Nothobranchius furzeri: one gene and its partner. The protein of the gene in region 2 interacts with the protein of the main gene of each other region in a pairwise test. Links are inferred from orthologs where the notes say so. Each region holds a gene or a part of one and is shown on either strand. Other genes may lie near its edges.

Region 1 (11,780 bases), on a different chromosome or scaffold from region 2:
GTGCTAAACTAACAACAGCTTTCCCTGTCGCGAGTCAACATGAGTGAGTCCATGAATGTTAAGTGACAGTGTGATGTCACACTATCAGGCATCTCTGAACCGAGCGTTTTTCCATCTATTTTCTATCGGAAGCTAATGCGGGAAATAGGGGTAGAAGACAATTTTTGCATTCAGCCTGTATGAAACACTCAGAGTGGTCATTTTTAAAAATAAGTAAAAACTGGTTTCTCAGTGAACCTGCTCTTTATACGTGTGTGAAAAGGGTATTCGACTTGTCATTTTCCTATAATTATCAATTAGAATCCCTCTGATCAGCATACCACTGTCACTTGAGAATATTTTGTGGTTAGACACAAAACCTCAAGACTTTTTAATGTCCAGTTGAGGCTTAAATGTTCAATAGGTGGCAAAAAAGAATAAATAAATAAATAAATAAATAAATAAGAGAAGGGGAAGCAGAAATACAGAACTCATGGCTGCAAAACATCAGTTCACTCTGTTCAACTTTTCTTCAGTCTACAGGAACATCTAGCAAACACAAATATAAAACCGTTCCAGTTGAGGTGTCAGGTTCCCACCAAATCTAGCCTGGCCAGCCATGCCCATGCTTCCTTATCGTCCTTCATGTAGAATAGGCAGAGGGTGAGTCTGGCAGGCCAGGCTACACCAAATCAGCCTTGTTTATTTTAACTATACCTTATTTATTATTGTTCTGTAATCATTATAGATTGTTGCTCTGGTGAGGTTGTCTATAAATATGTAAGGTTTTATTCTACCACAAAGACAAAGTCACTTATGACATAACACACCTGTCTTTATTTAAAGTGGTGTGATGCAGAGAACATCTCATTGGATGCAGGACATCTGTTTTCCTATTTGATGCCACATCACCCATGAAGAGTTTACTTCTAATCAACTATAATGCATTAGCATCTTTCACATCCACCGCCAGCAGAAAGGAGAAGTTTGATACCACCAATTATAAGTGATCTTACAAGCCATACCAGCTGCAGAGGCTTCAAACTGGGTTAAAATATAAACAAACCAGCAAGCAGACCTGCTAAAATAATACTCTGCAGATATTCTGGCAATGAGAAAAAGCTCCCATTCATCTATTATGCGATTCGTTTAAATTCAGCTCTTTAAGACAACAAAATAAAAGCATAAACTTGAGTCATACGCAGCAAAAAGTGTCCTTTACACATGTGTACCCGGTGCATTTTTTAGCTGTTTTCAGGGGGGCGCGCGCGCGTGCGTGTGTAAAGCTGAAATATGTCACATTTGCAGCTCACAACTCAAAACACATGCTTGACCATTCGTGACGAGCCTCATCCTCCTAAACATGATTCGAGTTAAAATAGGGGGGAAATGGTCTTTTGTTTAAATCACATTTTATGGGGAAGAAAATGGCCCACTGTTACCAAAGCCGCTGCCATATCACGGTGAACGTCTAACCGACCAAATTCTTCTTAAGTCGGTGAAATAAACAAGCCATTACTGCTGGAATCATTCCCAGCTGCTTTCAAGAACTTGTCAAGAACTTGTTTCAGCTTTTTAACCCCCAACAGGACTCTCATGGTTTCCGCTTCACGGGAACTACTTTCCCACAGCCGACAACAAAACCAACACTAGACCAAAAGTAAATGAAACGTTTGTTAGCGTACCTCGGAGAGTAAGGAATGCAGTTAAGAGCCAAAAAGATGTCCCATCGACCGTCAATATCCTGCGGTTCGTGATGAAGAGCTGCGCAGCCAATCCTGAAGTCTACAGAGCAGAAGCAGAGAAGGCGGTCTCACCGAGATCACCGAAGAAACAGGGCTGGACCAGGTTTTTTAGTGGGGTTTTTTTTTTTTTTTTTTGAGAGAGGGAGGAATAAAAAAAACGTAAATTTAGTCTAACAAAAATCCACGATGAGCTTTATTTCTGCCACTAAACAATAATGATTAAAAAATACTCATTGGATTTGATTACTTCCGGTCACGCAACGTTCCGACTTTTATTTTGATGCCACTGGTTCCAGCTGGTACCATATCCGGTACTTCAGCTGTGATGCAATTTTCCAGATGTGGAACCGTGTGGAACGAGGGAAGAAAGGGGAGGGGGGAGGAAAAAGCCACAGTGACACTTTGTTTTGTTGCAATGCGTCGTGTGCCAAGTTGTTACAGAACCGCACCATAATAGGCGCCGGGCTGTCAAGATGGCAATCAAATCAGGGCTTCAACATTTACCTCCAGCTTCAACTCAAACTGTCATTGTAAAAAGAAAAACTTTACATCTTATTTTGGCACTGCCTGTCACGTTTGTCATTGCCAACAAACTGGATCTAATGAAAAATTGTTCACTGATGCGTAGTAAATTTTGACGGGAAGAGGGCGACATCTAGTGGACATTTCAAACATTACATATTTTCCCTTTCAATTAAAAACAGTTTTATAGTTAGAAAGTAAGTTTGAAAGCAATGTGTGACGATTATACTGAAAATATACATTGGTATTAAAACAAATGCATTATTATGGATTTATAAGTTTGTGATATTAACTTAAAAAGACACATTTTTTTGTTACAACATTCAGATTTGCTTGTCGGTTTTCCACTCTTCTAAAGCCAATATTTCACTGAGTTGTAACTGTTTGCGACCAACGGCCATGAAAAAGTACAAAAACCACAGGAAAGACATCAAACTGAGACTGATCAGTGACTTCCACTTTAATGTGTCTGCAATTGTATTGAACTTGAAATGCCAGGTTTTATTTTAGTCGCAACACAAATTCTGAGGCCTTCACCTCCTTGGAAAATCGTCTGATTTTTTGCCCTTTCTGATGGCGGATTCCTAGCAAATATCGTATCTTCCACCACCCTGATAACTTTATGACGGTGCTCCTGGCAGTAAACTAATTCAACATTTATAAATAATGTGTAATTGATTTGTTCTAATAAATGCATGTAGCTGATAAATATTTTGTTACTAAAAAAATACAAACCCATTTTCTGTGTAAACCTAAATTAATTTGTTTTCTAATTAAATACAAAGTTTGAATTAAAAAATGTATTTGACTACTAATGAAAACATTTATTAAAACTTACAAAGCACTATTTACAAGTGACAAAGCAATTCTGCAGGTTTGATGCATCTATTTAAAATAAACTTCACTTTTCTGATACATTTACCATCACTTTATGTTCCAATTATTCAAATTTATTCAACTATTCAGGCTTTTATGCAACCCAGACTGCTGTTTTGCTGCTGGAAATGCAACTGCAGCTCCAGATGACAGACAGATGCAAGTAACTGAAATGTCACACTGTTCAGAGTCTCACAGGAGGAAAAAAAACAGGACAGGCTGTTCAGATGTTCCTGCTGGACAGGCACTGGTTGACCACCTCCAGCAGAGACGAGTTCTCCAGAGCTGCGGCCACTCGCTCTTTATCTGCAAGCTGCTTGTTCACTGAATGTGCAAAAACATTTAGTAAGTTAAAAAACACGAATAAAGTACTAACAGTTAAGGTGAATGTGTGATGTTCCTACCTGCTTCCTCTGAGGCGTGAGTCCCTGGAGTTATGTGAACATCAATCTGAGTGAGAAAAGAAAAACAAAAATATTAGACAAACATTTATACTGGAAAAGCAACTATCAGCCCCCCCCCCCCCCCCCCCCCCCCACACACACACACACACACACACACACACATACTTTAAACCTGTCTGGCAGGGAGCGCAGAAGCTTGACTTTGATCGACAGTCCGATGAGCGTTGCCATGCTGCAGTGTGGTATGGTGGGTGTAAACTCAACACCTACCGTGCTTTCTGCATCATTGACCTATTTAAAAAATGACAAAAGCACAAAAAGTAGTCATTAGATTTTTCTGAGCAGCAAACCTGGGCTTAACTATTGAAATCTTGTCAATAAGTAGACTGATTTTACGCCTGTGCTCTAATACGTTTGTTGACCTGCAAATATGTGTTGTTTTATAAAAAGCTCAGCCAAAAATAAATACAACTGCAATCTGAACCTTCTTCGCCCCCTGGTGAGGTCTTCATTGACTCTTCTGCAGCTCACCTACCAGCCAGGTATTAGGAGCGATGCCACCGTCCACTGAGCTGTGGCCCAGCCGGAGCAGCCTGGAAGCACTGTGAGGACCAGGCTTACTGATTTCTTCAGTGCTTTTAACACCATTCAGCAGTGAACTCGGACATAAGCTGGAGCTTCGACACATTTGTATTATCTTCTTTAAAATGTTTATTTAGCTTGATATGTTTGCTAGTATACAAGGCCTGAAAACACTATTAAATCATTTTGACAATTACATTTGGCAAATTCAAATGTCAATATTTTACCTCCAGGAGATGATTCGTGCCTTTATCAGCATGACAATTGACTACTGTAATGTTCTTCATGTTAGTTTCCTACAGCCGTCCATGAAAATGCTTCATTTGGTCAAAAAATCAGCCACTCACCTTTTAAAAGACACCTCAAGATGTGCGCCCATAGCTCTGGTTTTATTTTCCCTCCACTCGCTTCTGTTTGTTTTGGGAAAGATTTTAAACTTTTGTTTGTTTTAAAGCTCTTAATTGTTTGGCCCCACCTTACGTCTCAGATTAACCGAGTGTCCGTGTCAGATCGCTGAGGTCTTCATCTCCATTTCTCCTCAAACTTCCAAGAACTACATTTAATCACTGGGGTGACTGAGCTCTCGGTTGTGTCGCCCTGGAACCAGCTACCTTTAGATTTACGTGTGGTCACTGACCTGAGCCATTTTCTATCCAAACTTAAAACTTTATTAATCAAAAAGGCTTTTAGCACTTTGTAGCATTGTGTTATTCTAGTTTATTCCTCACTTTCTACTAAGGGGGTGCAGCAATTGCAGTTTTTGGCTGACCACCGATCTTGAGAAAAATCTGTCAGTTCCTTAAGACTTTCATTTTTCTAATTTTGAAAACAAAACTTTTGACACACTTGTCCAAATAATTTTTTTATATCAATGATTTGCTTTAACATTAACAAGGGGGGAACCAATTGCAGTTTACGGTCGATCCTCGATCTTGAAAAAAAACCCGAGATCAGGGCCAATAGATCGATGCACCTCCACTTTTTACTGATTCTGTCTCTTTGTTCATTGTTTTTCATTTGAACAACACTTTGATGATCTGGACATATAACCTTTAATGTACTATATAAATCCAATAAATGAAACTGATATTTTACACGGAATTTGGGACAAATGTCAGTAGCGTAAAAGGACCAAAGTGTCAAACTTCGACTTGATCCCTAACCTATTTAAAAAAATATGGAGAACTTGTGAGTGGAAGACGTCTGATATTGGTTTTTCCATTGCCGATACCGATGTGTAGGAGATATGACCAGCCGATAATGGCCGATATTTGTTTTGGGCTAATTTTATATACACATTTTCCACTTAATGATAAAATGTCACTAATAACATCAACTGATGCACACAATTCTTAAGCTGAATCAGTTTTTGAACACTGAATTTAACTAACTATTAAATCTTAATTTTGTGCTCTGGTCAGTGTTAAAGTCAGACATCTAAATAAAGTTAATCAAACAAATTTATGAATTGACCAAATATTAAATATTCAAAGCTGGTAAATTATAGTTGAGAAATAGTGAGAATTTATTATGCAGATGTTATTCAGGAAGTAAAAAAGTATTTTAAATTAAATTATGCAACAGCACCAAGCTGCCCTAAGATGTGCCTGCCTTAATCAGTTTAACTAATACGTTTTATAGGCTGACGCCGATATATTTATAGGTAAATATCGCCCAGCTATATCAGTTTATCCCTACTGGTGAGCACATTAGTTTTGCTCACATTTATCCCACCATATTAAATTTCCTTTTTTGTTTGGTTTTACAATTAATAAATTAGACTCAAATGAGAGGACATACCTTGACTCGAACTTGTTCCACCACATTGAGTTCCTCAAGAGACAAAGGATGTTCTGGATCATTGATGGATCGGATCAGATGTAACTTCAGTTAAAGAATTATTTAAAATATATAATAAACAGCTTTTCTCTTTGATGTGTAATCGATGCAGTTGTAGATAATAATATAAGCCACTCTAAACATAATGTATGTCTCCCGTACTTCAGTGGTCAGGCTTTTATTTTAATTCGCTAGATTTCTCTACGTTTTCCTAAGGAAATGTACCATTTAATCATCTGAGTAAAATAAACGTTTCTTTGCGCCTCTCAGTAGTTAAATTAGCCTAAACCAGAGAAAGGGATCGAGGATATCGAATATTTCTCTGTCGTCGATGAGGTCGTGAACGTCTTCATCCTCTTCGGACGCAGTCAGCGGCCTGTCCCTGCAGCGCTGGAAGATCACGGGGTTTGCGTTTTCCATCTGGACCCCTCGGGACATTTTAAAGTATGATTTAGCCCAAAATAAACTTAAAAAAACACTCCCAATCTGAAAAACTTCTCTAGAGCTCCAGTGGTTTACTTCCGGGATAAACGGGAAATGACGTGTGACGTCATGAACTTCTTAAAGAAACAGCGCTCATCCAGTGAGAAAAACACCCTGAAACAAACCAATAAAATAAAGGCTGGAATTCTGCTAAAAGTCGTAGATTTAAACGTTTGCTTCGAAAAACACCCGACCAAGTTAAAATATGTATTTTCTATAGTAATAAGAATTTTAAATAAATGCAACAAATGTAACTGTCACTTTTTAATTGATAATTTTGGTGGATTAATGTCCTACCAGTAAGAAAAGTTAAATAATGAAAGACACATTCTTTGAAAAATTTTCAAATAATCAAACGCACCCTGATTGTTGATATCAATTAAGCCTCATCATGATAAATATGAACGTTATTCTGATTAAATATGCCGGTGAAGGTTCTCAGTGATCCAGGTCATGGGTTTAAATGAAGGCAACTGGACTTCTTTGGATTCTTGAAGACGTTTCGCTTCTCATCCGAGGAGCTTTTTCAATTCTAACTGAAATATGGGAGAGTCAACTGTATGAATGCTGTACTAAAGCAAACCAAACAAGTCCGGACATATTATTTTAAATTGTTGAATATTTTGCAGGAATAAACTTAAAGGAAAGGATTACAGAGTCAGGAGCTTTCTTTTCTTGTCTTTATTGAACACACGCCAAAAGAAACAACTTATCTGAAGTGCAACAACCTCTATGGTTTCTATTTTGTTAAATAAAGTTTTTAAACAGCCTCTTTTCCTTGAGGATCACTTTTAACATAGAACTTGCACCCCATCTTGTGGCATAAAAACGTATCACACATTGCTACATGATACAAATAATTCATCTCAGAACCTTAACGTGTTTGGACCATCGACATAAATAGGTTTGGACCGACAAGACAAGACAAGACAGCTTTATTTATATAACACATTTCCCACACAGAGGCAACTCAAGGTGCTTTACAGCAGTAAGAACAGACAAAACACACAAGCACAAAAATGAACTATGGAATTAGATATACTAAAACTAGAAGACTAACATAATAAAAAATTGAGAAAAGAACTAAATGTGGTCAGCTGAAGGTGTCAGGAGACTAAAACTAAGGCAGTAAAACTGCTACAGTGTACTATAGACAAACATTGTTGAAAACCAACAGAATTTCAATGCTTTAAGTAGAAAAGAGGGCTAACCAGGAATTACAATCACCTACAAAAAATACATTAACAAAGGGTTGCAGCGGATTACTAAAACTTAGAGTATTGAGGCAGACCCAAACTAAAGCAGTGAAACTGGTACAATGAACTACAGGAAACATTGATGAGTTAAAGTAGAAAATTAACAGAAATTCTACACTATGAGTATTTCTGTTACCAAAATGTTTAAAGTATGTTTAGTGGCTTCTTTTTTTTTTTTTTTACAACATGCCTTCTTTTCTGAATCATGTACACAAATCAGGTTAGCATTGCATGTGTGTGAGTGTGTGTGTTTGCTATCTAAATTGTTGTCAGTGCATCTTCTCTAATTTAGATTTTATTGTCCTTAAACACACCCTCACACATTTTTTGCAAGCTGCCCCTGTGAATAAGCAGAAATAAATTCTTCTTTTGCACCTGATGGAATATTCTGCCAACATACAACATCAGTAAAACAATTCTTGCAATATTATTTACATGCATTTAAATTTTGTCACAATCTGCTGAATACCAGATGCTGTATTTTTTTTCAGAACTGAGCCGTAGGAAAAATAAACATCTGCAATAAAAAAAAAAGAAAAGAAATTTGATGAAATCCATATAAAAGAACACGTGAGACAAACTCAGCCCACAACAGTATATTAGGATTATCAGGTCCTGCATGGTCACCAGGCCTGGCTTAAAATCTGACACTCAATTAATTTCATCTCTGGACTTGTTTATTTCTTCTAATGAGCTGTAGAAGTAAAGCGAAATGAGGAAGATCAGCAATTGTGAAAAAAACTTTACCATGACACGTGCACCTGTTAGGGGAAAAATGTGTAGATAATGAGATAACGTACCACAGAAGACACCTGTGACACTTCACAAAAGAAAAGAAAAGTTGTATAAGGGCAGCAATGGAGGAATTAGGCAAAATACTGTAACAATACGAACATCTGACATTGTGATTGATTATTCCAGTCAGTGATTCAGTTTCATTAAGTTAAATATGAAAACTATTGTTACAACCATGTTTGGGGTTTTAAATGAAGGACGAGCCGTAATACTTAGGCATGTGCAGGTTGGTAAAATGCAAGCATTTATTATAAATAAGCATTTTAATAACAAGAAAAACAACCCAAACTCTAGAGTGATGAACAGGAAACTGGGAAACCTTTGACAGTTCAAAGATCAGGACACTTTGACCTGTTAAGAGTTAAAATCCAAAACTAATTCTCAAATCTGCCTCTGAAATCATTGTCAGACAAATAGACAGTGTGGGTTAGATAACGTTCTTTGTCCCCTGTTGTGTACTGTGTGCTGTCATCCTGTAGATCCAAATAAAAAATTACCTACTTTGAGCTGCTTGTGCTGCTGAGTCCAGAGAAGCTCACCTGATGTGCTTTGAATGAGTCTCCAAAGGTGTTGACAGGCAGAGCACAACCTGGGATATATAGTCAGGTCCATAAATATTGGGACATTGACACAATGCTAACATTTTTGGCTCTATACACCACCGCAATGGATATCAAATGAAACGATCAAGATGTGCTTTAACTGCAGACTGTCAGCTTTTATTTGAGGGTATTTACATCCAAATCAGGTGAACGGTGTAGGAATTACAACAGTTTGCATATGTGCCTCCCCCTTGTTAAGGGACCAAAAGTAATGGGACAGAAGAAGAACCATAAATCAAACTTATACTTTTCAATACTTGGTAGCAAATCCTTTGCAGTCAAATACAGCCTGAGGTCTGGAACACATAGACATCACCAGATGTTGGGTTTCATCCCTGGTGATGCTCTGCCAGGCTTCTACTGCAACAGTCTTCAGTTCCTGCTTGTTCCTGGGGCATTTACCCTTCAGTTTTGTCTTCAGCAAGTGAAATGCATGCTCAATTGGATTCAGGTCAGGTGATTGACTTGGCCATTGCAAAACCATCCACTTCTTTCCCTTCAAAAACTCTTTGGTTGCTTTTGCAGTATGCTTGGGTCATTGTCCATCTGCACTGTGAAGCGCCGTCCAATGAGTTCTGAGGCATTTGGCTGAATATGAGCAGATAATATTTCCCGAAACACTTCAGATTTCATCGTGCTGCTTTTGTCAGCAGTCACATCATCAATAAATACAAGAGAACCAGTTCCACTGGCAGCCATACATGCCCACGCCATGACACTTCCAGCACCATGAGTCACTGATGAGGTGGTATGCTTAGGATCTCCATACTCTTCTCTTCCCATCACTCTGGTACAAGTTGGTCTTGGTCTCATCTGTCCATAGGATGTTGTTCCAGAACTGTGAAGGCTTTTTTAGATGTTGTTTGGCAAACTCTAATCTGGCCTTCCTGTTTTTGGGGCTCACCAATGGTTTACATCTTGTGGTGAACCCTCTGTATTCACACTGGTGGAGTCTTCTCCTGATTGTTGACTTTGACACAGATACACCTACCTCCTGGAGAGTGTTCTTGATCTGGCCAACTGTTGTGAAGGGTGTTTTCTTCACCAGGGAAAGGATTCTTCGGTCGTCCACCACAGTTGTTTTCCGTGGTCTTCCGGGTCTTTTGGTGTTGCTGAGCTCACCGGTGCGTTCCTTCTTTTTGAGAATGTTTCAAACTGTTGTTTTGGCCACGATTAATGTTTTTGCTATCTCTCTGATAGGTTTCTTTTGTTTTTTCAGCCTAATGATGGCTTGCTTCACTGATAATGACAGCTCTTTGGATCTCATCTTGAGAGTTGACAGCAACAGATTCCAAATGCAAATAGCACACTTGAAATGAACTCTGGACCTTTTATCTGCTCATTGTAATTGGGATAATGAGGGAATAACACACACCTGGCCATGGAACAGCTGAGAAGCCAACTGTTCCATTACTTTTGGTCCCTTAACATGTGGGAGGCACATATGCAGACTGTTGTAATTCCTACACCGTTCACCTGATTTGGATGTAAATACCCTCAAATAAAAGCTGACAGTCTGCAGTTAAAGCACATCTTGTTCGTTTCATTTGATATCCATTGTGGTGGTGTATAGAGCCAAAAATGTTAGCATTGTGTCAATGTCCCAATATTTATGGACCTGACTGTAAAAAGCTCCAACGGTCAGCAACGTGGGCACTGATGGGCAGATTATTACCCACCTGTGACATTTACCAGAAACTCTCAAAGATCGGCCTATATGGAAGTGATTTATATTGTAATTACAAACCATCATATGAAAAGTCTTGTACGTGGGGAGCAAAGTAAAGCACTTGGAACACATTCTAAGTGAAGTGAAGAGACAAGGCTGCAAGTTGTACATGCTAGCTAACGCTCTGGCACATAATTTGGTATGTGGTCAGACATGGCCATTTTTCAATGCAACTCTACTTCCTTCCATACGGCCCACTTGTGATGAAATTACTTTACGGAATGAAACAGTAATGAAGAAACTACACATGGCTTTTCAGAATGCATTTGGCCCGTTTCCACTTTCAAGAAGATCCGGGGCTTAACACACACACACGCACGCGCACACACGTGACACGCACTAGTCAACATCATATATATTTGTCTTGTACCACATAATTTTTAATCGGAAGCTACATATTAAGCATATTCAGGCTAGACTATTGTTCCTGTTAGTGTTTAGTGTGAGATGATTGTAAATATTCCCTTTCTTTCTCCATCAACTTTACCTGATAGTAAGCTAACTTTAGGCAAACCAACAGCACAACAAATATTTTCAAATAAGACTCACAAACCTGAGTCAACACCAGTCTCATTAAAGCTTGGGTTCTGTTGCGGTACCATTTGTCTAAAAACGTCCTTATGTCCATCTTCACTCATGCTTTTCAGGCAGAGACTGTAGAAGCCGGCTGCTGAAAGGCTTCTTCTTCAGTGGTGGAGGTTCAGGCAGGCTGTATACAAACTACTGCCAGCTGCTCCCTCTCTGTTGGACTTTGGTACTGCATGTTACTTCCACCATTTAGATCCGGGGCTTTTCATAAAATATTCGGGGCTTGAGCCCAAGTAGCCGGGCCTAACGCCGCCCCTGGATAGGTGTAAGAGACTGTTTTCATGTTCAGTCTGCTTAAAAAATTCAGAGTGACCGGTTATAATCAGAAAAAATAATTAAAAATGTTTTTTTAATGAACCACACCTTTAAGGCAGTCTGGA
Region 2 (11,839 bases):
TGACACTACCTGAGATGTTGACTTTTAACTAGTTTTAGATCATTTTTACTATTATTTAAATGCATTTTACTTTGATTCAACCAAATTGTAGTCTGCTCAGCTTATTGTGTTAACTCTTTGGTTGTTTTATTACTCTACGTTCTAGGGTTTTATTGTTGACTGTTGTTTTTATTTGTTCTGTCTACAGCGCTTTGGTCCTGCGGGTGTTTCAAGTGCTATACAAATAAAGTTGGTATGGTAATAAAGAAATAGTTAGAGAATTTCGACACCTTTTTACTGGCGTTGTTCCTACAGGTGAAGGAGTTTGTCATTCTTCTAAATTGTTTCATCACTAACTTTCTCCTTCAAAACGTCAATTGACTCCTCCTCTTTCTTGGCATTAACAGCAAAAGGGATTAATCTTGGGATGTAAGCAAGAAGTCAGCATACACTTTAACCTTCTGTTGTCATGGCGATCCCCTCCTCAGCATCCTGCTCCACTCTTCCCTGTAATTCCTGTAATCCCACACCTCCTTCTACCCGGAATCCTCTATTCTTCACCTTTCACCCTGTGCCCTTTCACCTGACCTTGTCACAGGTCGCCACGGTGACTGCTCATCACCTCATCCATCCGGCTAAGACCAGTCATTTTGTAGCAGATCTCATTAGGTTGGACCGTTTGTGTAGGAGTTTTTGTTTTGCCCAGCCTGCCTTAAAGGATTTGTCTGCTTTCAAGTTGCCCAGGATGAGCTTAAAAGCACTAAAGGCTATTTTTACTACTTCTGTCCTACTTGTTGTCTGCTACGCTCAGAAAGAGCCAATATGAGGAATTTAACCTTGCAGCTTCAAAAAGGCAACAGCTGATCTGACAGTTTATGAAGCTCTTTATAAACAAACAGTATCAGCTGCCAAGCAAAGCCATCTTTAATATCTATTTGGTGGAAGATAAATCAGATTTTCCATGTGTAAACAAAAAGGTGTTGAGATGCTTTAGGTTTTGTTATACTAGAGTAAGCTTCTTTAATTGGCTCAACAAACTTGGGGGGCAGCAGTTGGGCTAATGGTCCTTTTATCTTTCTATTATTTCTTTAAAAATAAATGCTGCATAAAACAACAAGATCTGGCCATTGATTAAATCTACAACATACATGATTTTACTCGTGATTATGATAATATCATTAATCATTTAGTGTGATTTCTCACAGCCTCTCATGGCCTAATTCTATTATGAGGATTAATTAAAGCTTCTGTGTTCACCTGTAGTTAAGGTGTCATCAAAACAAATAAAAATGTCAAGAGCAGACCCGTGTTTGAGTGAAAAAGGTTCATTTCGAGCACATTTTTAGCACTTCTGTTAATCTTAATGCTGATATTTGGTACAATGACCAAATGATACGTACCCAATGGGCTTGCGTGAATGGTGGAAATCTTTAAGAACTCGTTCTACGTCATTGTGCAGCTTACAGTCTTTGCCATCCTTCATAAAAGATGATCTAAAGGTCAGGAATTTTGCAGTTAGTGGCACATTATATGTATATATATAAAATAAACACAATTATTTTTTACATTTGAAAACTCCTCACAGGTTCTTGATGATCCCATGACCTCCAGGAAAGATGACAGCATCAAAGCTGTTGACATCCAGAACGGACAGGTCCTGCATTTGCATCTTTCCCTGACCGTGACTGAAGCGAGCCGACTCCATCATCATGTTCCTGATTACAAATGTGTTAACATGTGATGGGGGTTAGGTCAGGTCATTCGGCTTTACGTGCAAAATGTAATCAACGGTCTCCTCAGCCCAGTGTGAGATTCCTACCGGTTCTCCCCTGAGAACGGCTGCTTTTTCATGTGATCCATCACATGCATCTGCTGCTGATTCGGAGCAAACATCTGGAAACGAGCTCCGTTTCGGCTCAGGTGGTACATGGTGCTGAGGAGAAATTTGTCACCATTTCTGTAAAATTACGCATTTATACAAATGTAAAACAAAATCCCTGATGTCCTGATACTCACTACACTCCTTCATGGACATCAGTTCCATCCCACCATCCACATCCTGAGAAAACCTAGAATACATTGATGCACAAAATCAGAACAGTTCTCCTCTTTTCATGGGTCGTGTAACAAGGAGTCAAACTTACCACTGCAACATTGGTGTTCCCCCAGGTGCCATGGTCACCGTGGTGAACAAAGCAGGCTGGCTGGCGAGAGAGAATTGCCAGTGTCTGTTTTGACAGCAAAGTCCTGGTTGCCAGCATGTCTATGATCAAGTCTCACTTTTTGAGAAGAAAAAGTGTAAGTGAAGAGTTTGCAACCGAGCCTGTGAAGACCTCTGACGGCACAGACATTTACCTCTCTGAGGACATCTGTATAAATACGTGCGGTCAAATGACGCTCCCACATTAGCTCCATTGTCTTTTCACGTCTTGACTTGTTCCCTTCCTGAACACCCTTCCCTATTAATACCTCTTTAATTCTGATTACCTTAAAGCATTTGGCCACAGGGCAAAACTTTAGCCTCAATATCTTAACTCGTTAGGAATTTGGCACTTGATGAGTCGCATTGGTTGGGAAACTGTTCAACACCATTATGCAGGCATAGTAGTATGCCATATGCCCTTTAAAGTCCATTAGGTTGTAAGACTCTTACTCTCTGTAATGCCGTGTTGAGTCTAGACAGTAATCCAGAAATACCTTTGACAGAAAGAAAACTAACATTTATAGTAAAACTGCACATTCCGTTTAGCAGGAGTCAAAATGTAGTTATAGATGAGCAGCAAGAAGCAAAATATGGCATTTATTTTATTATGGCCACTTTATGTAGAAACAATCGCTATTTACACATCAGTGAGGAGAGCACAGTGAGGAACAAAATGTAGAAAATGATAAAACAAAGTGCAATCAACTACAATCATCACACCAGCCACACGTTTAAGCCTCAGGAAGAACCTTGTGATGAGATTCTAGCTGATTATTTTCAAATGTGCATCCACCACAACCCGTAAACAGAAGACATTTACTGAACTTGTCATGTATGGTATTCACAAGGTACAAACAAGGTTTATTTTTAATAAAATACAATAAACATAACACAACCAAATTAGGATGTGAGGTTTGTTGCTGTAGCAGAACACCCTCTCTCTTCACCTGACTCACAACACAGCCAAAGACATTTTTTAAAAACGCCAAAGGCCCGCCTCACATTTTTGGAAATGTCCTTATTGTTTCTAATACAGAGGTGAACAGAGAAGACTATGTTAGTGACTAATGTCTGCAAAGCAAAAGATAGAAGACAGCACACACAATAAATAAGGTCCATTTGCTTTTTTATATAAAATAAACATTTAAAACAATCTTGTCAGTGTACGTGTACATCAGCATTTATGATGTATCAAATTAAAATGCTGTGTTGTTTTAACAAAGCCCCATCATAGCCCTGTAACTGCAACCACTGACAACGTGCTGAAAGTTTGTTTCAACAAAAGCACTGATCAGGCTGTGGCTACCCCCCAATTTCTTCTTATGAGCAGTTTAATACTCTCTGCAGTTAATTTATCTTTACATGTAAGGACCAGATCCTAAAAGCCATTTACATGCAAATCACTAACCACTTCAGTGGGGAAAGTAAGAAATATCTCCTAAACTGCTGTCACCACTAAAGAAAGATTCCATGCACCCAAGCACTGTTATTCAAGGAAGCTGTGCACTAATGTGCACACGCTGTGTTTAATGCCAAGAAAATCTGCAGCAGTATCCGTTTGCTTAAAGAGTGTGGTTTTGCACATCGAGCAAAAAGCTGAGCTGAGAGAGAAATGTGTATGCAAAGGCAAGTCTGGTTGGATTAGGGTGTGTAGGCAGGTGGTGGTTGAAACTGATTAGCAATGTCATAATCAGCAGGGAAATTCTCACTGCTATCCTCCATCTCAGAGAGCAGCTCTAAGGCCTGCTCTTCCTCTTCAGTGGGGTAGTGGCGAAGAAGGTTTGCAGCTGTGGCGAGGATGGATGCTCCACCCGCACCTGCCACCAGGTAGAAGCTGATAGCAAAAGTGACATATATAAGTGAACCGTGGTACTTCTTGTGCTGCTGCTGAAGGGACAAGATCAGCTCTGAGGCCCAGTAGCAAAAGCCTATGACTGTGGCACACTGCAACACTAGAAGGAAAAGGAAGTCTGTTAGCACAGGTAAATATGCAAAATGTTTTGTGTGTAAATGAAAGGTTTGTACCTGTGAGTATATGGGCAAATGCATATCTACGAGTGATCTTTAGGGCAGGGTGTTTCGGTCCAAACACATCTAACAGAAAAGCAGTTAGACTGCATAGGATGCCCAGGAAACAAAAGGCAGCTATGACCCTCAACAGCAGGATGGTCTGCGGGTTCACACAGTAATCTGAGGATACAGAAACGTCAAAACAAACAAAAACCATTACGAGTCAAAACAATGATCGATAATTGCTGGTTGTAAAGTAATTGTGCAGGTTCTCACCATCTAGAAGCTTTGGATCAATGTAACCCAAGACATCCGCAACCCCCAGCTCCTGCCTGGGACAGGCGCCCCCATGAACACGCACCCAGGCCGGCTCAGCCAGAGCCGTACACAGCGCTGTGATGGACAAAGCTCCGGGCAGCGCTGACACCAGGCTGCGCTCCGGCTGCTTGGGCAGGGAGGTGGCAGTTCTTCTTCTCCGGCCACCAGGTACGGTAGAGCCCGGCGGAGCATACATGATTACCAAATCTCTGTTTTTGTAGGAAGTGTTGGTTCCCTTGTCTGTCCTTTTCCTTAAGGTTTATAACTGGGATTAGCCGCCTGACACAGCTGTCAGTCGGTACAGCTGATTTTACCTGTAGTGTTAAAGGATGATAGCGGTCCAGGCGACTTGTTAGATGAAAGATATACAATACTTCCGTACGAGAACCAGCTGCTCGATAAAAAAACAGGATCTGGCTGACGAGGAAACAAAAGACAGATGGCCTTCAGGCCTGTTAGCTGTACTGTTAGCCCGATTAGCTAATTCGCAGTAAACGTCAAATATAATAAATTCTTATGACAGGATTAAAACGAATACAAAAAAAACATATAAACGCCAACCTAGAACCCAATCTTTACAACAACAATAAATAAAAATATATTGTTTTAGTTACAGAAAAACAAACAGAAAACAAAACAAAAGACAGCTTACGCTGGTTTCCTCTAAAGCATTGACTTCCTGTTTCCACCGGGTTTCGTCGTAGCTACAGTAGAACCTGTGATCACTAGCCCCACCTACCGGTTAAAAAAACTACACAACGATGAAAACTTCTCTGCATTTACCATAGACTTTAAATCTTATACATAAATCTCGCTTTTTTTATGAATAATTATATATTTTATTACGACAACTGAATTTGTTTCCGTTTATTTAAAAAAAATATATTTAAGTTTGTTTTTAAAGGAAGACGGAAGCCCACAGTGTGCACTTCCGATAAGCAAAGATGGCGGCACGTCAGTTGTGGATGTTTCTATGAACTTCTTTAATTTGCTCTTTATTGCAAGTTAATTCCTTATCTTCTCAAAATATGTTAATAGTGATAGTGGCTCTGCTGCTTTGATGGGTTTTGTTTGAGTTTCTTATCGGATTTTTCTGGGAAGGAAAAGACAAAAGTGACGAGACCTGTTAACTAAATATTTAATAGTCATTAAGTCAGTATGAAGGAGACTCTCACGCTGCTTCACAGGCTCAGCGCACACCCGGACTCTCGGTGTTGGTTTGTCGCTTGGAGCCCAAACGGGACTCTGCTGGCTTCGTGTGGCGGGGACAAGGCCATCCGGATCTGGGGACGCGAAGGTAGCCTGTCATCTCTTTCTCTCTCTTACACACACACACACACACACACACACACACACTCTGATTATTAGTTATCTGTTGGTAAAATAATTAATCTATTGACCTCGGTGACCCCCTCTATCCGTAGGAGACTCCTGGGTTTGTAAGAGTGTGCTGGAGGATGGACACCAGCGCACCGTGAGGAAAGTGGCCTGGTCTCCATGTGGAAATTATTTGGCCTCTGCCAGCTTTGATGCAACTACATGCATCTGGAAGAAGAATAACGAGGGTTTTGAGGTTAGATGAGACCTCTGTTGTTCAGTGGTGTGATTAAAAAAGCATTTAACCGTGAACTTGACACATTTGTAAATGTCTTTATAGAGTTTGACAGTGTTGGAGGGACATGAAAATGAGGTCAAATGTGTGGCGTGGGCTCCATCAGGGAACCTCCTGGCCACATGCAGTCGAGACAAAAGCGTTTGGATCTGGGAAGGTTTGTGTTTATTTACACATGTAATAAATACAATTTGATCAGATCTGGTTAATAGGTGTTTTCCCTCTGTCCCACAGTGGATGAAGAAGATGAGTATGAGTGTGTCACAGTTCTAAACTCTCACACACAAGATGTTAAGCATGTAGCGTGGCACCCGACCCGAGAGGTAGACTCAGATCTGTAGACATTATCTCCATCTGTAGCTCCATTCTCATTTTTGAGGTTATTGTCTGTTTCCTCAGCTCCTGGCTTCGGCCAGCTACGACAACAACATTTGTATTTACAAGGAAGAAGACGATGACTGGGAATGTCGCGCTACTTTGGAAGGACACACCTCCACCGTCTGGAGTTTGTGCTTTGATGCAACTGGACAGAGGATGGCGTCCTGCAGCGATGATCGCACTGTGAAGATTTGGAAAGAATATCCCTCTGAGAGTGGTCAGTAGTTATGAACAGTAACACCGAAGCCATTTATTTACAAACAAATCCTTTTTTTTACCTGCTCTGTATGTTGAAAGGTGACACGTCCTGGAAGTGTGTTTGCACTCTGTCTGGGTATCATGGACGAACAGTGTATGATGTGTCCTGGTAAGACTGAACTTCTATCAGTGATCTGAATGAATTACCTTCAAACTGACTTAAACACCATTTGTTCAGGTGTCCGCTGACTGGCGCCCTGGCAACTGCCTGCGGTGACGACGCAGTTCGAGTTTTCAGAGAGGACGTGACCTCTAATCCAGAAGAACCTGTATTCTCGCTGGTTGCTCAGGTAACCAAAGCTCACAACCAGGACGTTAACTGTGCTTCCTGGAACCCGAAAGAAGCTGGAATTCTTGCCTCCTGCAGCGACAATGGAGAACTTGCCATTTGGAGGTTCAAAGAAGACTGATTCAGTGACAAATGCACCGAAGTGCTTTTGGTTTTAGATCTCATACTGGGAACTTTATCTTTAAGGCACCACATCTGTTATTTCATGGCTTGATTAATCTCGTTTTAATTTTTGTGATCGGAAAACCGCTGCAGCTCATCTTGTACACTTTTTAAAAATGGCTTAATCAAACATGTTTATGAATAAATACAAAAACACAAGACTGTGTGGTTTCATTTTAATAAAAAGAAAAGAACATGCCAGACAATAGATTCTTAAAAACATGTTTACTAATCTAGGGAAAACCATTTTACATCTGCAATGTAACTTTAGACATAATCTGAAACCAAATTGTTGCATCTTTTATTTTAAAAAGCAAACCTGACAAGAAAAGTACAAAATTATGCTTCCCATATTTAAAGCAGTATTGTCAGTGGATCCAGCTGAATCCAAAACATGCATTTCATTTTTAATACGGAAAACAGATCCTGCACACCAATTTTGGACTGTTTCATCAATCGGGTCACTAAAAAAAACTGACATACTTTGGGCAAAAGTGAGAAGTTTAAATTCAAAGAAACAAATCAGGTTGAATATCTACAACACACCCATTGATTCCCTCTCAAATGGAGACAACACAGTATTCAGTAAAACTTAGTCTGAGTCACTTTCTCCCTCGCTGTCGGCCTCCTTCACATCCACACTGAACTTGTACTCCTGGTCACAACCCATGTACGCATCACTCATGAAGTACAGGGTGTAGTGGTGAACGCCCACTGCAGGTGCAACAAAGTCCAGCTTCACCTGTGGAGGAAGTACAGAAGAAAACAGGAAATGAGGCCTTCTACTGGGAAGGGGAGAACATTTCTGCTGTATTACACCGACCTTTGCTTTCTGCTGAAGAGTCAGCCTCTTGATGGAGATGAGGCTGTTAGACTTGGGGTCTCCAATAACGACCCACCAGCCCTCCTCACGTTTCTGCAACAACAAGAACACGTCACCACGATCCACTTTTACACACCGCTGAAACAAACGGGATCTTTGGTGAATGACGGAACAAACCTGAGGGAAGAGTGGCGCAATAACCGGACCAGTCACCTCCTCCTCTCGCTCCAGCTGCACCTGAACCAGAACTGAACTGCCGCTAAGAAAAACAAGTTCACAATGTTAACCGATGTTAATCGATTAAATTGATCCTCAACCGTAAAACTTAATTATGCTTTCAAAGCTTACATAAATAAATCTGCTGAGAAACACAAACCTTTTGACATTGTCCCTCTCTGCTACTTCATAGGACAGCTCGATGTTGGGGTAACGGTTACAGAAGCGAGCCACATCAGCCATCTGGCTGTCTGACAGCTGCAGCAGACCGGATCTGTCCTCATCCTCCATTTCCATTATGTCAAAGATACTGTCCACACCCTAAAGAGAGCAACAAGGGATGTTTTCATCTACGTTTGCTTCATTCATAACCAAATGTTAATACCAACTAACCTTGTCAGTACAACGCTTGATGTGTTCGGAGGTAAAGTGAGGCAGCTGCTTCAGATACGAGTCCTTGGACCACATGGCCTGGGTGACCATCTGGGCCAGCTCCATAGCGGCTAGAGCGGGACTCAGCCAGCCGTTACTGGACAACACGTCGACGCAGGCCTGAATCAGACGGATCGCCTACAAACAAACGCTCTCGTCACATAAAACACGCTGGGATCAAATACAGAAACGTGGCTGAGTCACAGCAAAACATAGTATTCAGGGATCTGAACCTTGCTGAGGATGTCTTCGGTGTCCGACTGGAGCTCAGCACTCAGCTGCATCCTGGATAGGTGAGCTTGCAGCAAAAGGTTTGTCTTCACATGGGGGTCGTTGAACTTCGGATTGTTCAGTTTGTGGGGCACTTTCTGTGCCAGCTGAAGGAAAAAGCAGCTCAAAGTTAAAGATGTTGCAGCACAAAAGGCACCTACACACTGGGTCAGTACCAGACCGGAATTTGGTTTCACACCTGGGTAGGGCTGGGCCTAACCCAATTTATCGTTATTGAAATTTCTGACAGAATTTTTCCCATATCAATAAATTTGATAATAAAAAAAGAAAAGATGTGTATAGGTTGGCAATGTTAATGTCCCTTTAAGAAGCGGTACCACCTTGAGTCACGTAAATATGTGACTCAACGTAAAACATGTGACAGCCCCATGTAGTGGACAACTTTTGTTTCTGCACATACATGTAGTTATCGTTCATTTATCGTTATCGAGGTGAAATCCTCAATATATTGTGATACTGATTTTAGGTCATACCGCCCAGCCCCACACTTGGGCCACTTATGAGTTTTCTGTTCTGAGGTACCTCTTTTTTTCAGACCTCTTTCTCAAAGGACCGACTGGGACCGAGGTGACACTACGGACTGATTGGCTGACTGAAATGATCATCTACTGCCTCAAGTAGAATCAGCCAGCAGGGGGTTTACGCATGAACATCCTGGATGTTGTTGAGTAAACATCTCAGTCTGTAGCACAGAGCTCCCGGAAGAGAGAGTCGTGTATGTCCTCTGAGCAGCGAACATCTCTGCATGAAGCTCTTGCTACAGCTGCTCAATGGATGGAGAGAGCAGCGAGCGTGTGTGTGTGAGTGGAATTTGAGGACATGCACAGCAGTGAGAGAACAGGGAGCACATTAATAAAAGAATGTGCTTCGGTGTCTCCAAAAGCAACACAGCTCACACCTGCCTTTGCTTATCTTAATAAGAAGGACACCACCAGCGCATTTTAAACGCCGCCCACGTGCTCGGGGATTTCTGCATTCTCGAGAACTCCTTCGGGAACACTACACTGCCCGTATGAGACCCAACTGACGCTATCCTCCCACAACCGTACTGACCCTAAAGTGTAAGCGGCAAAAGACGCTACTCTAACGTGGACTTGTGTCGGTGTGTTTACCTGTCGGAGGAGCATGTCCTCGTGGTGCCTGATGGGAATGTTCTTATATTCAGCTGCGTTAGAGATGATTTCAATTAATCCTCGACTCTTGGTCTTGGCATTCAGGGACATGCTGAATAACTCTGTTGAACAACAACAAAAACTTTGCTGTGAAGTCTGAGGTCCAGGAAGCAACATAAACCCCATAGAGAGGTGAGTGTAGCTACAAACCAATGGTGGTGTAGTTTATGTAGTAATAAGCTGCGATCATGCCCAGATTGAGGGGTGCAACATCCATCTCGTCCTCGATGCTGATGCACTTGGACTGCTCCAGGTCATGTAACGTGTTCTCCACCAGCTCAGACAGGTGGTCAGACAGGTGGCGATGGGACATGCCTGCCACAGAACATAAGACTCAACAAGAAACCCCTAAGCCTGGTCTGGTCAAGTGTGATGTGGTCTCTGCCTTAAAGGATGCTAACCCTGCAGGTTGTAGTAGTTGGGGTTCTGCGTCATACGGCGGTAGAGGAACGTCCACGTCAGGTAGTCCACGGCGTCCTGCTTGTTCTCCACCGTCTTGGTGACGATCTCAGCGTTAAAGTGGTCATGAAGACAGTGATCCAAGTGAGACTCCACTGGCAGGGGCTCGTACAGGAACTTCTTGAAGAAGTCCTACAACAAAAACAGATAACCTGTTTAGTTCAAGTATTTTTACAGTAATTGCTTTTAAAACAAAACCAACGCATGTTCGCACCTTCTTGGAGCCCTGACACATGATGACACAGCGTCCCTCATCATCCAGCATGGGTCTGTTTGCCTTTCCCACCATCTGGAGAACATCATATATGGGATAGTCCACATATCTGAGAGAAATGAGAGAACGTGTCATCAAAACAGCACATTAAATTCATTATTGTAGACATTTTTTCAAGTCAACTTAAATCCTTACGCATGGATTTTTCCATTGTAGTATTGGGTATCCATGACGATGACGAGGTGTGCAGAAACGCTGATGCCCCAGCAGAGCGAACGTGAAGACACCACCACCTGAATGGCACCTGTACAAGAAAGAAACCCCTTTTCTGGTTTGTTTCTCAGCTCTGAGCGACCCAGGTGTAAAATAAAATTCATACCCGAGTTGAAAAGCTGCTCCACGATTTTGCATTCAGTTGCAGAGAGGCCCTCATGCAGGTATCCCACGCCGTTGGCCAGAGTCTCTTTAAGAGTCCCGTCGTTTATCTTCTCAAGGAACGGAGTCAAGTCTTTTTCGTTACAATGCAAAAACCTGATAAGACCAAGAATTTTTCAGAACACCAAGTAGAATAATCTCAAGATCAAAGACTGATGAGCTGTGACCGTACAGTCTATGGCTGTGACTGACCTCTGAGGAACAACATCAGCAGCACAGAAAGTGAGGATGTCGATGGCGGTGAGGCGGGTCTGCCTGCGGGACGGGACAAACACCAGCACTGGCTTGGAGGGAGAGTGCCTCATGATGGCGTGGTACACCGGTTTGGCCATGGACAGCAGGCGAGTCTGAGTGTGGCTGACGTTGAAACCCTGCAGCAACAAGGCGACAGGAAGTCAGGAATCTGGAAGGTGTTTAAATAGTTCTTTCCAATGGTAAAATTTGTGCAAAAGCTTTTCAGACCTGGATGTGCAGCTCAAGAGGAACAGGTCTGACATTGGGGTGGAAGTTGAACGTAGCTGTGGTGCTGCAACCCAGCCAGTGGGCCACATCTTTAGCATTGGACAAAGACGAGCTTAGGGCCACGAT

The links.
Region 1: the proteins of ciao1 (region 2) and ciao2b interact in binary tests that used the Homo sapiens proteins (3 or more experiments, as listed by UniProt). The two-hybrid records come from large-scale screens. The link is inferred for Nothobranchius furzeri from reciprocal best matches to the Homo sapiens genes CIAO1 and CIAO2B.

Annotation. Positions count from the first base shown.
Region 1 is NC_091752.1:28,655,700-28,667,479, forward strand, and holds ciao2b (cytosolic iron-sulfur assembly component 2B), read right to left. Parts: upstream 6,562-11,780; 5' UTR 6,386-6,561; coding exon 6,259-6,385; intron 5,989-6,258; coding exon 5,909-5,988; intron 3,818-5,908; coding exon 3,692-3,817; intron 3,573-3,691; coding exon 3,527-3,572; intron 3,447-3,526; coding exon 3,346-3,446; 3' UTR 2,683-3,345; downstream 1-2,682.
Region 2 is NC_091757.1:37,103,967-37,115,805, reverse strand, and holds ciao1 (probable cytosolic iron-sulfur protein assembly protein ciao1), read left to right. Parts: upstream 1-5,431; 5' UTR 5,432-5,668; coding exon 5,669-5,807; intron 5,808-5,934; coding exon 5,935-6,083; intron 6,084-6,167; coding exon 6,168-6,279; intron 6,280-6,356; coding exon 6,357-6,445; intron 6,446-6,521; coding exon 6,522-6,717; intron 6,718-6,797; coding exon 6,798-6,867; intron 6,868-6,936; coding exon 6,937-7,168; 3' UTR 7,169-7,368; downstream 7,369-11,839. Other genes in the region: gatd3l (ES1 protein, mitochondrial), read right to left, coding at 1,380-1,472, 1,563-1,694, 1,799-1,912, 1,996-2,048, 2,124-2,240; tmem127 (transmembrane protein 127), read right to left, coding at 3,824-4,134, 4,208-4,372, 4,469-4,706; snrnp200 (U5 small nuclear ribonucleoprotein 200 kDa helicase), read right to left, coding at 7,802-7,951, 8,033-8,125, 8,210-8,291, 8,409-8,569, 8,642-8,818, 8,914-9,057, 10,084-10,205, 10,294-10,458 and 6 more. UniProt on the Homo sapiens protein: Key component of the cytosolic iron-sulfur protein assembly (CIA) complex, a multiprotein complex that mediates the incorporation of iron-sulfur cluster into extramitochondrial Fe/S proteins.